Linked DNA regions of Daphnia pulex. The protein of the gene in region 1 binds, or shares a complex with, the protein of each later gene. Links are inferred from orthologs where the notes say so. Each region holds a gene or a part of one and is shown on either strand. Other genes may lie near its edges.

Region 1 (7,818 bases):
TGGTTACTACTACTACCGGACACACATTAATAGAGGAGCGCCCTTTTCTTTTATTGACAAGAGAATGGTTGAATTTGAAAATGAGGACAACGGATGGCCAGTTGGATAACGGAGTTTTCGAAAAAGGCGATTCGAAAACCCGTGCATCCTGCAAATGACTCGCCCTAATTCTTGTTTGATCAGGCGGTGTTAACGTTCGACAAATGACCTAGAAAATCAACTTTCAACATGTCATAGATCCATGTATTAGAGGCAGTGTCAAGAAGTCGCGACTGTTATTTTTGTTTTTCAGAGGACGACCGAGTAATCAAAAGGGAGTTTAGCAAGTCCGGCATTCGGTAAAATAAAAACTGGAACAAATTATGTAATTATATTTACTTAGGTACAAGCAAAAAAATTTTTACCGCGCATTCATCATACATCTACACACTGTGGGCTAGATTCAACATTCTAATGCAATTGAGTAAAAAAGGGATTAAAATAGGGGGGACCGGAAAAGAGATGGTGGAGGCCGAACTCGAGGGATATGGGGAATGGTTGAAAATTTTAGGAGCAAAACTTACACATAACAGGGGATGGGAGAAACAATCGATTATGAAAAGAGTAAAACATAAACGGACGCGGGAATCAAACGGATGCAAATTTATGCAATACAACCCAAAGTTTGAAACAGAAGAGGAGGAGGATTTGTCGTCGTCGTCAAGTTTTTTTTTTTTTTTCATTCAGCACAACAATTTTGGAAGAGCTCGTGTTGTGGGCTTCGTGAGAACAGACCCCACAATATTTTTGTTTTGTTTCAAATTAACTGTGGGCTGCCCTCGCGTCCGGTACGGTATTGATTATTTGATGCCATAGCGCACTTTGGCAACACACTATTGCAGTGAGATGCCATCTTCAATCATATAGTCTTAGTTATTTGTTTCCTAAATCTTTCCTCTACGCCCCACGACCTTGTTGAATTTTGTTATACACAGCACTTGAACGAATGATTCATTACGATTTGTGATTAGATGTTAACCACGTTAGTCCTTCATACAAGCCGTCGCCTGTTGTGGCACATGCTGGCTGGACGTACCAGTTCCGATCACGAATACGAGTCAGCCCCAGTTTTTCTTGAATTTCGTGTGGTTTCATGGCTGTCAACATGAAAATGTCGTGAATAAATTGGGGTTCCACAGTCTCAATTATAATAATTGTAAAATACTCACCATCCTGGAGGTCTTGTTTATTTGCAAATATAAGGATGATGGCATCACGCATCTCACGATCGTTTATGATCCTATGAAGTTCTTGTCTAGCTTCGTCAATTCGATCTCGATCTGCGCAGTCCACAACGAATATCAAACCTTGGGTACCAGTATAATAGTGTCGCCACAGTGGGCGGATCTTATCTTGGCCACCAACATCCTGCAGTAATGATTCATATTTTAGTGTTGGGTTTAGAAATTTGATGGGTGAGGTCAAAAGGAACTAGCTTACCCAAACATTGAATTTGACATTTTTATATGTTACAGTTTCAACATTGAATCCAACGGTGGGAATTGTTGTGACTGACTGTCCTAATTTCAGCTTGTATAGAATTGCTATTTTGAAAAACAAAAATAATAAGTATAACTTGGAAAAAAACCAATGCTATCAGACAACACATAAAATTCTTTATCTCACTTGTTTTTCCAGCTGCATCCAGCCCCAGCATGAGTATCCTCATTTCCTTGTTTCCGAATATTTTGGACAGTATTTTCCCCATTCTCCTAATCAGCTCACTAACAAGCTGTTTTACAAGAAAAGAACTTTATTTCAAGCAACAAAATGACCCTGTCAGCCACAGCCATATAGTTTATCCACATCTGTAGAACTGAAGTGTCAAACTAGTTTGGTAACTTTTCAGTGACATTTGTGGCAAAAGTTGTTATCAGAAAAAAATAAACAGACTTTGCTCAGTCATTTACAGCATACTAGCTAACATACTATTATCAGATCAGGTTTTCCACTTACTTTAATGTAGACTCAACAATGACGTTTACTGGAATTTTAGCTGTAATATGGAAGTATTTTCGAAGGCATTCCTATGAACCGGAGTCGTTATTTGCACAAACACTATTTTGTTTTTGATGTGAGCACTAAGAAATCGATGGAAGGCGTTGGAAACAGGCGAAAATAAATAGTTTCTTTGCTTCTTCAGATAAAAAGGCACCTGTCACTTCAGTTAGCCGCCCAAACACCCGACCCGGTCTTCCCGATATCTTTGCAAGTCTTCAGAAGATCCAAAAAACTCGGGCCTTCCAATGTAATGAACAGACAGAATAGTACTCCTTGCATCTCACCAGATGGCTTTTTTTTCCTTCTTCCAATTTTGGTGACGGCGGCGTCTGAAAACAACTAGCTATTTCAGACTTTAACACATTCCACTCAACTAATCAATTATTTCTATTATTACACTTATTCAAGTGGAATAACGAGAGGAATGACATACACACACCAGTGTAATTGAGCAGATGGAATTCCAACACTGACAGCCAGTGTCCCCTTTTCTGCCCACCTTCTGATCCGCCCACCCAAGCTTCGATTTGATTCGATTTCAAAACCATTCCCTAACCGTCAACGTGTTCCCTCCCACATCTTTAAAATGTATTATTGAAACAACGAGTGATAAATTATTTTATTATAATTTTTAATGCAGGATTCATTGGTTCGAAAGGGGAAAATTTATTTAGCAGTTTCTAACATTTCTAAAAATTTGATCGGCAATACGGCAAGTGTTTAGTAGCGACGTCTATAATTTCAATTTAAGTAGCGGTCTCTGGCGTCAAGATTACGAAAGAAAAGTTGAAATTCATGAACACATTTTTCTTTTTAGGTTGCCGGAAGTCGACAAAATGCCTCAAGCCGGATCCCTATCTCCTCCCTTAACCCCCCGCAGCAACAGCTAACAGGTTGTCTCGGCTATCAAAGTGCATTTAAGGAAGCTGAATTACTCATTTTACAACTGAAACATTTCACCATGTAAGCCGCTAGCCGTAGTCTTTTGTTTTTTTTCCAAAAGAAGCATATTCACCATAAATATGTTCATGGTTTGTACATAGTGTTTCTATACAGTCACCGCCACCATGTTATGACGTTTTTTTGATGGATTGTTATTTCTTGTTGTTGCTTTTCGGACACATGTGTACTTGACTACTCAAAAGATTTGCTTTTCTCCCACAATACTTATTACTGGTTAGGTATTTTTCTATAAATAAGCACACTAGTGCTTGTTGCCTGGAAAGATTTATTTTAGCTCCTTTCTTTTATTACAGTACAAAACAGTTATTTATTAAGAAATAAAATGGAGACATCGAAGTAGAATTTCGAAACCGCACATTATTATGCTATGACGATAAAAAAAAAGCGGTAGAACCACCAAAAATATTCGGTTAAACTTTCGAGCGGATATATTTAGTGGAATATAGCGTGAGGTAAATTTTGAAGTGTGTGTCTAATCGATGTCCTTGAGTTCAATATCTTCGACGATCCGGTGAAAACTGCACGAAGTCATGCGGAGCTTTGAATACTTTGGTGTTTCGAAACAGTTGATAATAAGCTGAAACTCGTAAAACCACCGCCATTGCGATCAAATAGTGCGATGTGTAAAATCTAGCTACGACATAAGTAATTTCCTACAAAGTAAGTAGTAAGTAGGTAGTTGCTATATACAATAAATGAGTGATTTATTGTAACGTCATAATGAGGTCCAAATTCCTAAATTCCGACATTAATTTTCTCAGATTTATTTCGTGATTCTTAGGCACTTCAAGGTAAACGAGATTCCTCACGGTTGCCAATCCCTGGATAGAACTTGGCGAAAGGTCTCCATGGATTTTGGTCACGGCCTCTTTATCCTGATCCTGCTATCAGCTAATAAAACTCAGATAAAACTATCGTGTTTGCATTGTGTTGCCTAGAAGCAGCATAATCAGATTTTCAGTGGATTACAGCAACATCAATTGCTGGGTACTGGTCACAGTCTGCAATAACATGTCATACAATATTACGTGCCATAGGAGACGGCAAAAGTCACGTCATTCTTTATTTCAATTTAAGTTCTTAGATGGCGCAGTAGTCGTCTTCAATTTCATTCGCCAACAGAGGACTCTGCACTCTGGTGATCCGATGAGTGGCCCACTGGCCCTGAATAGAGTATGCAATGGCAACGAAAAAAACATTGAGTGAAAATTCAGACAACAAACGCGTGTATATGGTCGTTCCGTATTAAGATTAAGACAATTTTTTGTGAAAATGTCGTCATCCAAAGTGGTCCCTATCCTTTCAACCGCGGGTGCTATCCCTGTGAAAAATGACAAAGGGGAGATATCTATGCAAAAAGTTAAAGTCAATCGTTACGTATCAGGCAAACGACCAGACTACGCTACTACACATTCATCTTCAGATGATAGTGATGAAGAAGAGTTTATCAGACCAAGAAAGCAGGCAAGAGGAAGACCAGTAGAAGAAAGGTATTAAATTATTGATTGTAGATATGTATTTATATGCTTGTATATTTAAAAAATTTGATTAAATTGTAGTCCTGAAAAAGAATGGGACGAAACCCCAGATCTTCCACTTACTGCTCACAGTGACAGAAGATTAAAACGTCTTTTAAATCGTGAAGTTGACGACCATAGAATTGAAAGGCATCGTCATATCCATGAGCCTGAAATTATTGGAACAGAAGAAGATGAAGTAACACCTCATTTAGAAAGTGAAGAAGTAAGTTTTAGCAAAAATGCCCGAAGATGGGAATCAAGTGAAGAAGAGGATGAGGCAGAAGATCTTGATGAAGATGACATTGAGCGCAGAAGAATGATTGCACGTCAGAAGGCTGTTATTAAACAGCAAGAAGAAGTAAGTTAATATACTTTGTAGTATGATCATTGATCAATTCAATTCAATTGCAAATTTTGTTGTAGGAGTTGTTGGCAAGAGAGGAGGAGAAGGAAAGTGAGGAAGATGAAGATGACGAAGCTTCAGAATATGAAGAATATACAGGTTTGAAATAAAAGTCCCTTGATGTGAACAAGACTCTAAATCTGTTGTGTTTTTTATCCTAGATTCTGAGGAAGAAACGGGTCCAAGACTGAAGCCCATCTTCGTTAGCAAGAAAGAACGTATAACCATAGCTGAGAAGGAAAAGGAATTGCAAAAACAAAAGCTTATGGAACTTGAAGCTAAAAAGCTTGCCGAAGAACGTCGCCGCTATACCTTAAAGGTAAACCATTTTTAAATTTATACACTTTTTGAACTAAAAAAGCATTAAAAATCTATTAAACAGGTTGTTGAAGAAGAAGTCAGAAAAGAAATGCAAGCCAAAGACGAAAAAGACCTTGAATCAGGAATCTTGTCGGTGTTGACGGATGCCGAGGATGAAGAACTCGAATACGAGACCTGGAAATTACGTGAACTTAAACGCAATAAGCGTGACCGAGATGAAAGAGAGGCAGAAGAAAGAGAACGACAAGAAATTGAACGTATCCGTAATATGACCGAAGAAGAACGGCGACTGGAATTCAAGAACAATCCAAAGGAAGTCACAAACAAGGCACCAAAGGGCAAATATAAGTTCCTACAGAAATACTATCATCGCGGTGCCTTTTACCTCGTAAGTTCAGCTTTTAAAGATATTTGGGATTTTAAAAATAATTTAAACTCTTACTCTAACAGGACGAAGACAAGGAAGTTTTCAAACGCGATTTTGCTGTGCCAACTCTTGAAGATCACTTCGATAAGACTGTTCTGCCTAAAGTGATGCAAGTTAAGAATTTCGGTCGCAGTGGTCGAACCAAATACACACATTTGGTGGATCAAGATACATCACAAGCCGACGCACCGTGGGCCACGCATACTGCTCAGAATTTGAAATTCTACACACAGCATGCTGGTGGAGTAAAACAAGTGTTCGAAAGGCCTGCTTTGAAGAAGAACAATAACTCGGGTACTTGAGTTGTGGCACTGTTTTTATATTTGAAATTGAATTTTGTAACAATGTCTCATCTTTGTGGTTGATACATGCAAACCATCAATCGTACGTGAATTAAACATGTTTCCAGACATTCAATGTATCTAAAGGAAGGGGTAATCTTTTTTTTTCAGTCACTGCTTGTAGTAAAATTTTAAATCTTAGATTACCCTATACTTAGTAGTTCTCTTCTCTGCTGGTCTTTGTCTTTCTGGTCCTGGCTCCTTCTGGGCTGAGAAAACTTTTTTCGCACCCGCTAGATGTGCTGTGTACCGGGCTGGGTTGGGATGGGGTCATGGGGGTGTAAAAAGTTACACTAAGGGATAGCTCGAACAGTCGGACGCCGGCCTAGAAGTCAAGTAGGCCATGTCAGGATATTGTTTTGGGTCACGCCTATTGCACTCCGGGGTCCGGAGCGCTCTAGTGTCATAAGTGGCTATTGCAATCCGGAGTCCGGAGTCCTCTAGCGTCAAAAGTGGCTATTGCACTCCGGAAATTTATGGCGACGAATGGCAAATAACGACTGATTCTGTGTTTAACATAAATACCATTCAGCCTGAGTTCAGAGTCTGTCTTTCATTCAAGCTTCAATTATAGTGTGAAAGAAGAGGGAGTTATGCACTGATCTGTGGTTTCACCTTTGTTACAATATCGTACAACAGGTCAACAGCATGTGATGAGTTTTTGAGATTTCCCCAAATGAAAAACAAACCTGATGGCTTCAAGAAATTAGTGTTTGACATTTTGAAAAAAAATGTATCATGTTTGAAAAGTGAGATTTTACTTATTTCATCTATAAAAGTTTTAAGGTTTGCAGGATTAGGGGTTTTCGCTATTTCTTTACGTTTACGACCTGATCATGACTTTATATCACATAAGAAGAATGTTCCTCGATATCATTTAATAATGAAAGAAGTTGAGTGTGTATAAACAAAAACAGTAGGTTTACTTTCTACTCAAATTTAACACAATATATTTCACATAATAAGTTCAATTCTGGGTGTGTATACATGAGACTACATAATAAGGTATTTATTTTTTACATTCGTGACAGAACCATTCGTCATCGTCGAGGGGAGATAGATGTTACAAAATAGGAAAATACTGGTAGTCAAAAAGAGGAGTGGTTAACTTTGTTTATGATTATCTCCGCGGCGTTGGAACCTAAAGCAACCCATCATCAAAGGACAAGGCGCTTCCATATTCCGCTCTTAAAGGATCTTTGATTGACGCCGCACCATGTGCCAATTCTTTCCCCTCTTAAATCAATTACTTTTTCATTGTCAGTTCATTCATGTGATGACAAAGCACCGAGTGAAACTGAACACGAAAATACCAAGTATTTTTTCGCACTCACAATTCAGTTAAAATGTCTTTTGATATTCTCACTATAATAAAGTAAACTGCAATTGCATGTTAACTTAGTTTTGTATTGTTTTGTTTCAAGATATGAAAGACGTGTTTAGCTGTTAGTTTATTGGAATAAGAGACACGGGCATTGCATGGTTTATAGCGTGAAATCAGCTGAATCACACGTTACGTGTCAATCAGCAGAAATAGTGAGTTGCTGGTCAATGCGTTTGAAGGTCACAAAGAACCCCTCGAAGCCCCGTTCTGAGAACTCCGGCTCGACCTTCAGGCAAGTAGGGGGGCGACAGAGGGTGACTCACTATGTCGTGTGTTTATAGCGTGTTTAACAATCTAAATTATTACTTTGAATTTAATGATCTCTGTATAATATAGCTGAATCCCACGTTACGTGTGAATCAATCAGCAGAAATAGTGAGTTGCTGGTCGATGCGTTTAAAGGTCACAAAGATTAAGAA
Region 2 (7,547 bases), on another chromosome or scaffold:
AGATAACCAAGTACTTAACCACAGTACCAGATATAATAGAAACTATTGTTAATTCAGTTTTGTTTCTTATTAATCAGAGAACAGAAGGATGAACAAAGCTTACAGACCAAAATCTAAAATTGGAAATTAATGATGCACTGCAATTTCAGGTGATTTCCGGTTCCGATTTGTGTAAGAGGATTTCTTTTGATTGTCCACTTCACGAATTGAATTGACTGAAACATCATCCAAGCTCAATTTAGATTTTGGAGGCGATAGCAAATTAAGAATTCACCAGGTGGGAAAATGGTAACACATGTTATTTATTTTCCTAATTAAAATAGAGAATCTTTTGCTGGTTGTTATTCCATTCGAGTAAAACTTTATTTTTTTCCATCTTCCAACAGGTTCATTCAAAGTTAACAGCAAACACACATTTGATTTGTTTTTAAAAAGGAAGTCCATGCTGTCCTATAAAATATTCTACCTCAGTTTCCTCAAGTCCTTAAGGTATCACAACTCCCCTATTCAATTCCCCCTAGATTAACTGTGTTTAAATATTTTCTTAGCTTTTGCATTATGTTTGGTTGTTTATTTGTGCTTGTTTTTATTACATCAAATTGTTTTTCTTTCGAAGGCTCATAACAGCCATAACAGGTAATATTTCGCGCTGTTTGGTGTTTCAAACGTGGGACCATCAATCAACCTAAGAACAAAGCCCCTGGTTTTTCCTCAAGAAGCTGGTAGATATTAAACATTTTACTTAGATCTGTTTTATCCAATAACCGTTTGATTTATTCGACAGGTTTTAACCAATTCGAAAAGGTACTTTGCAATAAATAATAAACCGGATTTCAAGCCATATATACACCGTTTCTGCAGCTTGCACCTGATCTGGCAGGCCGTCGGAACTCTATTAAGTTTATCTGAGAACCATCGGTACTTTGCCTAGACAGCGTCCTGGAGAAACTACTACTCCACTGCACCGCCTTCGAAGAAATTATGTGGTGTGTACATTCCCCTTTCGATAACTAAAGGATTCGAAGAACTCTCTTCATTTTCTAGGATACTTTCTGAGGTAGCGTTCGGTCTTTTTTTGTCTACATCTGCAATCTACATCTTCTCTCAGTGTCTAGAAAAAAAAATGGTGGAATTTCGATTCTATCAAAGACACTTACACCATCTAGTGGACATAGTTTTTAGCCAACGAGTGATCTAATGGCAATACATTTTATAGCTGGAAAAATGATGTCCAGTTCCAGTAAAAGAAAAGAAACCATGAAGATCCCACACATCACAGATCATTTAAATTTTAGTCAGACCACGTTAAAAAGGATTGGAAGCTGGTGTCGTCTGCATCTCCGAGGCCGTAGTACCGTAATCCGTGTTGAGCTTTTATCTTATAGGACGAGACTACGAGATCTTTAGCCTAACTAGTAACTACGGTACTGAGGAAAAATTGTAAGTGACGAAAAATAATAGGAAAAATTTCAAATGAGGAACAAGTCCTTTTCTGATTGTTATTCTTGCAACGGCTGATGCTTCGTAAGTTCTTAACGAAAGGAAATTTTGGAAAAATTATCTCAAAAAATAAAAATCACCATAAATTCATACTGGTGCACCAGCCAATCATGAAGTCATTACTGCGCGCCGAGGGCAATAATAGTTTTTCGGGATCCGTGAACAGATATAAACTTTTTCGCCATTTTACAAAGAATTCAGAAAACGGGGTCAACATTAAATAGTAGTGTCAAAATGATGATTGATCTACAAATTTGTGTTTAAAATGTCTGTTGGGATCAGCTAATACTTACCTTGTTTTTGACTCTTTTACATTTGCAATAACGAACACCGTCTCACTTAGGAAGAATCCTAAGTTCTTGTCTAAGTTGAAGTCTGCACATCCAACACAAGAAATAAGAATAAAGAATCAGATAGACCTCGGAATAATAAGGAAATGAAAAGAGTGTTTATTACAAAACGATTAGAAAAAAGACAGCAGATTACGGTCGCAAAGGAGCCAGCCCCAACTTAGCTCGCAAGGCATTCGCTTCTGCAATTTCAGGATCGATGGCAGCACTGGAACTGCTACTCTTTTTGCTATCTTTCTTTTTGTTGTTGTACTTGTCACGATCTTCGCCTCTTTTGCTTCGATCTCGTTCTGATTCACGATCTTTCCCGCGGTCCTTGCGGTCTCTACGATCCCTGTCTTGGTCTCTTCTGTAGTCACGCGAACGTTCGACTGAGCGGCTTCGCTGGCGGCGACTTCGATCCCTTTCTCTTTCACGACTGCGGTCCCTGTCACGCTCACGGCTGCGATTCCTTTTGTCACGACTTCGACTTCTGTCTCTATGTCGATCACGTCTTTCCCTACTTCTCTCTCGTTCACGTTCTTTATCCCTATTACGACGAGAACGTTCCCGTTCTCGATCACTGTCCTGCTTTGAACGCGATGTAGTAGGAGGGGGCGACAACGAACCTCCTTTCCTTTCACCCTCTTCTTCTTCACTTTCTGAATCTTCTTCCTCCAAGTCTTCTTCCAAAGCTGATACTCTCGGCTCAACTTCATTAGCTTCTTCCAGAATTTGACGTTTCTGAAAGTAAAATAAACCGTATTTAATCAGTATTTTTTAGGTTGAATACTAATTCACATTTATACCTGAAGTCTGGGCAGGATAACATCACAAAAACGCTCTTCTCTCAGTAAACTATCAATGAAATCATCCATGTAAAGAAGCTCAAAATCTAAATAAAACCACATGTTAATTTGCAGTATTCTTTTTAAAAATATCTTATTTTTATTATTACTTCCTTCCTTGTTTTGAAACCGAATTTTTCTGTAATCATTGTAAAGTGGTTCTAAATATTTATAGATTTCCACAGATGTTCCAACAAGTCTCATGTAGAATGCTCCCAAGGCACGGACATATCTATAATGATACATTATATTAGGTGATTTCCTGTATAACTTGTCTGTTTTGGTCAAAGAACTTACTTGAAATCTTCATTTTTTATAAACTCCACTACAATGTCCTTTTCTGGTTGGATTTGAAGCATTTTTAGTGTAAGTGAGAGAAATGGAGTAGGTTTAACATTACCACCAAATATTCCACCAATGTACCTTAATTCCATGGCCTTATCCACCATCAACTCAGCTAAAAAAATACATATACATAAATAAAATGAGTGCATCAAAACACAAGTAAAATTTTCAATATACCTGTCAAAGCAAAGCATTCTTCTTTCCAGTACTTTGAATCATAAATTCGAGTTCTAATAATCTTTTCAACCAAGTATTGAGGATTTGTTCCTTTAACAGAAATTGCCTCTTTGATTGTTCGATTAGCCATTTTGAATTAATCTAAAACACTAGATGTGTACAGTCAAAAGAATAATCATTGAAATTTAACTGTGTTGATAAAAAGTAAAACTTTGTCGGCATTAGCAACGGAACGACAGAACGACGCTTGAATCCGTCGTCTGCTACGGACAGACAGAGACATCAAGTGGTCAAGTGGGTGGGGCGATCAATTCATCAATTGAAAAGAAAATTTTATCGTTATTTAGTTTACTTTTATGAAATATTTTTATATTTTTAACAAATCAATCACTTAAGTTATTTAAGATTTTTCAAACTAAATTTTTTAAACTGACCTGTCTGTTCTGAGAGAAGAGTCTTCATTTTTTTCTGTAGCTTTTCCGTTTGTTTTTCGCCTGCTAAACATTCCAGTATACTACCTTGATACTACTACAGACGTAAATCATCACGTAATCATTTTGAATCTATCTCGCCACGGTTATGGCAAAATATTTGGCCCAAATAATTGTTATGGGGGGCCAGGTTATTGGGCGAGCGTTTGCTAGAGCTCTTAAACAAGAATATCAAGCTAGCCAGGAAGCTGCCAAAAGAGCTGGTGGTGGGAAAGCCGGCGCATCACGTGTAGAAGCTAACTTCAAGGTTTGTTTGTTACACACAAAAGTTATGTAATATCAGTAAATTTTAAAAAGTTAACATGTTTTTTTTTTCATTCTGTAGACAGGCATGACCCTTGAGGAAGCAAAAGAAATCTTGAATGTGGATAAATTAGAACCTGAGTTGGTGCAGAAGAACTATGATCACTTGTTCCAAGTTAATGACAAGACGAAAGGTGGTTCATTCTACCTTCAATCTAAAGTATACAGAGCTAAAGAACGACTTGACCAAGAAATGAAACATGAAACAAAAAAACAAGAACCGTCAAAAGAAAATAAAATGTAACCTTCTCCAAAACGACAGTTAAGGTTATGGAAATTATCTGGAATTTATCTTTGTAGTCAAATTGAAAAATTGTACATATAGGGATAACTAATAAAAATCATTTTTTATAACCTTTTTTATTCTAATATTATAGAATCCTTATGCATATTTTTTTATTGTGATGTGATGTATAAACATTTTTTCAGGTATGATTTTAATTTAGTAGGCTTTGTTCTTACCTTTATATTTGAATCATATATTTTAGTGAAAACTTTAATCTTAACACAACTTGTGATTGCTGCAAATTTATTTCACTATACATTTACCAAGCTCATTTAATTATTTGTTTTATATGCATTAGGCCTTCTATAGCAAACACGGTTTTTACCAGTTTTTACAATGACTGACGACGACAATCAATATGGTATCCGTTAGAATGTAATTTATTACAGAATCTGGCAAACCGCTCATTCAAATATTTATAGAACCTTTTTACAAATATAATCTTTACATTTTATAAATATTAAAAACTGACATTTTATCTTCTAAACAATGTTGACTTTAGAACTTTTACTCTTTAAACTGATTTTTCGGCGCCAATAGGTGGAGGAAGATTTGCGCTTGTTTGTGTCAACAGATCGTAGTCACCTTGCCTGTGGTTCGTTTCCCGTTCGTTGCTGCCGCTACAACAGTTTAAAACAAAAGAAGAACTGAAACTCTTTTTAGTGCACATCATGTAAATCGTTAAAGCCATCACGAGTGCTAAATTAAACGCCAGAGCCAGTTCGACACCCACGGACCAGTTTTCGTAGCCCGTTAATTGCTTTACGAGTTCATGCGGATAACAGTGCGATTCTGGTTCTATTTGGGATCCTACGGTGAAACAACATTTGTTAATAGATTTTTCAAACATAGGTCTAACCATCAGTACCTGGTATAGAAACAAACTTGAGCTGTGAATCAGGATAGCATGAAGTGCACTGAGAATCACTTGGTCCTCTGCAGTAAAGACAAGAATAGTGGCACGGAACGCATACACCGCTAAGGAGACCATTTAGTTCGGTGCGATTCATTGGATGTGAAGCATTCGGACAGACTGCCAAGCACTTGCCCTCCCACAAATAGGAACCACTTTCACACCCTGGGAGCCACAGCAGAAGAGGTATAATGGATTCAAATATGGTATGTTAATCAATCATGCTAAGTTAATCAAGTAGTACCTCTAAGACTTCTGCTAACGGTCGTCATTAAGAGAGTTTGGGGCAATTCTGCTTCACGGTTTTTCTCCACGTTAAGTCCCGATGATAGAAGAGGCTGCTGAATTTGACTATCTTTTGAGACGAATTCAGCAACCGATTGTTTCACTGGTTGAATGGGAATGTCATCAGATGATAATTGGGACTCTGGGTGTTCCTTGGTTCCGTACGCTATTAGAGTCCATCCTATCAATGTCGCTACAATTTTGAAATATTCCAGAAACTAGGTTAATCTTTAAGTTGTGTTTTTGAGTTTTAAGGAGCAAATTACATATTGATTAAGACTAAGGATGTAAAGGAAAATTCATATCAGATAACTCACCAGGAAATCGGCCTTCATTTTGTATCTCAAGAGTCCAAACGCCAAAAGGACTTTCGCCCCAAAAATGAACCGACATAAAAGGCCACGAATGAAAACCGTTACGAGAATTGTCTAAAGGGCGACGCTGAAGAAGCGTTGAACGAGTTCCTGAAGGAGACGTTAGGAAAATTTGAATCTCTCCTCGGTTCGCCGCAGATAGGGAAATCAATACCTAAAATAAGCAAGCTGACAATGACGTACAAAGTTTAAATTTGTTTTTAAATCAAAATACCTGAAGATGCTCTATAACGTTGACATTTCCACACTCTCGCAAAAATAAATGCAGTTTGCTCAAGCTTTTGGCTGCGATTATCCTAAAACACAAAGTAGATAAATCAAATCACTCGTTAACACGCATACGTAACTGAAGTCCTTTGCGCCACATTTATCAGGTTAAACTTACGTGTTGGTATCAGCAGCTTTAATTTCGCAAAACTGTTGTGGAGGAACACTTTTCCAGACCCGTGCTAGGCGGACCATTGCTCCTGCGTCCATGAGCCCGTAACCAAATGAATGGCTTACTGGTTTTAACAAAAATTAAAATGTGTTGCTCGATCAAATTAAATCTATGTAGAGAAAGAAAAAATGAAAATACCATTTCGACCAACTCCATTAACCTGCCAATCATGAGCAATAAGGTGATCAGGTTTAGCCGTGCGAACGACAATATGTTGCATGTCGCGCCAGTTCAAATTTCGATTGGCTTCCAGCGTAAGAGCACAGATACCTGCAGCTAGTGGTGCTGCGGCTGATGTACCTGTATGACTAGGTGTGCATGAATGATGCAAGTCTGTCGTAACAATCTATTGATCAAATTAAAAGGAGATTAGTTGCAATAAGACATGTATTGTTAAAGTATTATACCTGTTTTTCGTCGGCAGCCCCACTGCTGTAGGCTGTAGCTAATGTGCTAGAACAGGCTTCAGAATACCAGGGCACGGCTCCGTTCTCTGTGGCACTACTTATGCTCAACGTCCAAATTGAGTTGGTGTAACCATCACAATTGCAATTGTCGCGTTCTTTGCCGCCATTTCCTGACGCCCACACGAAAATTGATCCTTTTCCATTACGACCCTATAAACCGAGAATCATTTAGACTCAATAGGACTTGTATCAGGAATTGAGCTCACTTTTCGGATCCCTTCTAAGAAAGCTCGAGTGGCCAACTCGCCAGGACCATCTACTGTTTTGCCATCGTCGTCAGGACCCCACGAAGCGCTGTAGATGTCAATGTGCTGCGAGTTGTGGCTGAGAGAATGGGCTTCAACAGCGTCAGTCACTTCACCATCCAACATTCTGATACCTAAAGAACAGAAAGTGAATAAATCGTTTATTAATCGGATGGGCTGTTAATGAATATACCACCAATGTTGGCATTAAATGCAATTCCAACAGCGCAGATCGAATTGTTTCCCTGGGCAGCGACCTCACCAGCACACCGAGTACCGTGTCTACCAAGCAGATGAGAAATGTTTATTTTTAGAAAATGGTAAAATTGCATCAACTAACCTGTTGGAATCGGTGGCATCATATCGAGGTGATGGATCATCGTCGTGATCATTGACATCAAAGCTGGCCATGGGATCCTGACCAGGAAAATAAACACAAGAAATTAAAAAAAAAATCTAGGTGGAAAGTAACAGGAAAAAAAAGGTGTACATAATTCCGGATAATATCTGGATGGTCCTTTTCCAATCCATCGTCTAAAATAGTG

What was found.
Region 2: the proteins of microfibrillar-associated protein 1-like (region 1) and pre-mRNA-splicing factor 38A-like are in contact, whole or in part, in a crystal structure (PDB 5F5S), measured with the Homo sapiens proteins. The link is inferred for Daphnia pulex from reciprocal best matches to the Homo sapiens genes MFAP1 and PRPF38A. Residues at the interface, in NP_005917.2 of Homo sapiens: Glu275, Tyr276, Trp279, Arg282, Glu283, Arg286, Arg289, Asp290, Arg294, Leu297, Glu298, Lys301; in NP_116253.2 of Homo sapiens: Tyr124, Asn125, Tyr127, Lys129, His143, Asp145, Glu146, Asp149, His153, Tyr169, Val170, Glu172.

What each region holds. Positions count from the first base shown.
Region 1 is NC_060019.1:11,263,285-11,271,102, reverse strand, and holds microfibrillar-associated protein 1-like, read left to right. Parts: upstream 1-2,860; 5' UTR 2,861-3,003; exon of another isoform or gene 3,004-3,071; intron 3,072-3,784; 5' UTR 3,785-4,275; coding exon 4,276-4,493; intron 4,494-4,562; coding exon 4,563-4,881; intron 4,882-4,946; coding exon 4,947-5,025; intron 5,026-5,087; coding exon 5,088-5,245; intron 5,246-5,308; coding exon 5,309-5,635; intron 5,636-5,697; coding exon 5,698-5,976; 3' UTR 5,977-6,086; downstream 6,087-7,818. Other genes in the region: ADP-ribosylation factor 6, read right to left, coding at 994-1,136, 1,209-1,407, 1,480-1,583, 1,666-1,747. UniProt on the Homo sapiens protein: Involved in pre-mRNA splicing as a component of the spliceosome.
Region 2 is NC_060022.1:2,879,990-2,887,536, reverse strand, and holds pre-mRNA-splicing factor 38A-like, read right to left. Parts: upstream 3,475-7,547; 5' UTR 3,330-3,474; coding exon 3,200-3,329; intron 3,135-3,199; coding exon 2,975-3,134; intron 2,910-2,974; coding exon 2,788-2,909; intron 2,752-2,787; exon of another isoform or gene 2,725-2,751; coding exon 2,639-2,724; exon of another isoform or gene 2,574-2,638; coding exon 1,983-2,573; 3' UTR 1,934-1,982; downstream 1-1,933. Other genes in the region: mitochondrial import inner membrane translocase subunit Tim16-like, read left to right, coding at 3,779-3,937, 4,016-4,237; furin-like protease 1, read right to left, coding at 4,794-5,089, 5,148-5,357, 5,437-5,670, 5,795-6,005, 6,066-6,147, 6,237-6,354, 6,429-6,636, 6,698-6,907 and 4 more. UniProt on the Homo sapiens protein: Involved in pre-mRNA splicing as a component of the spliceosome.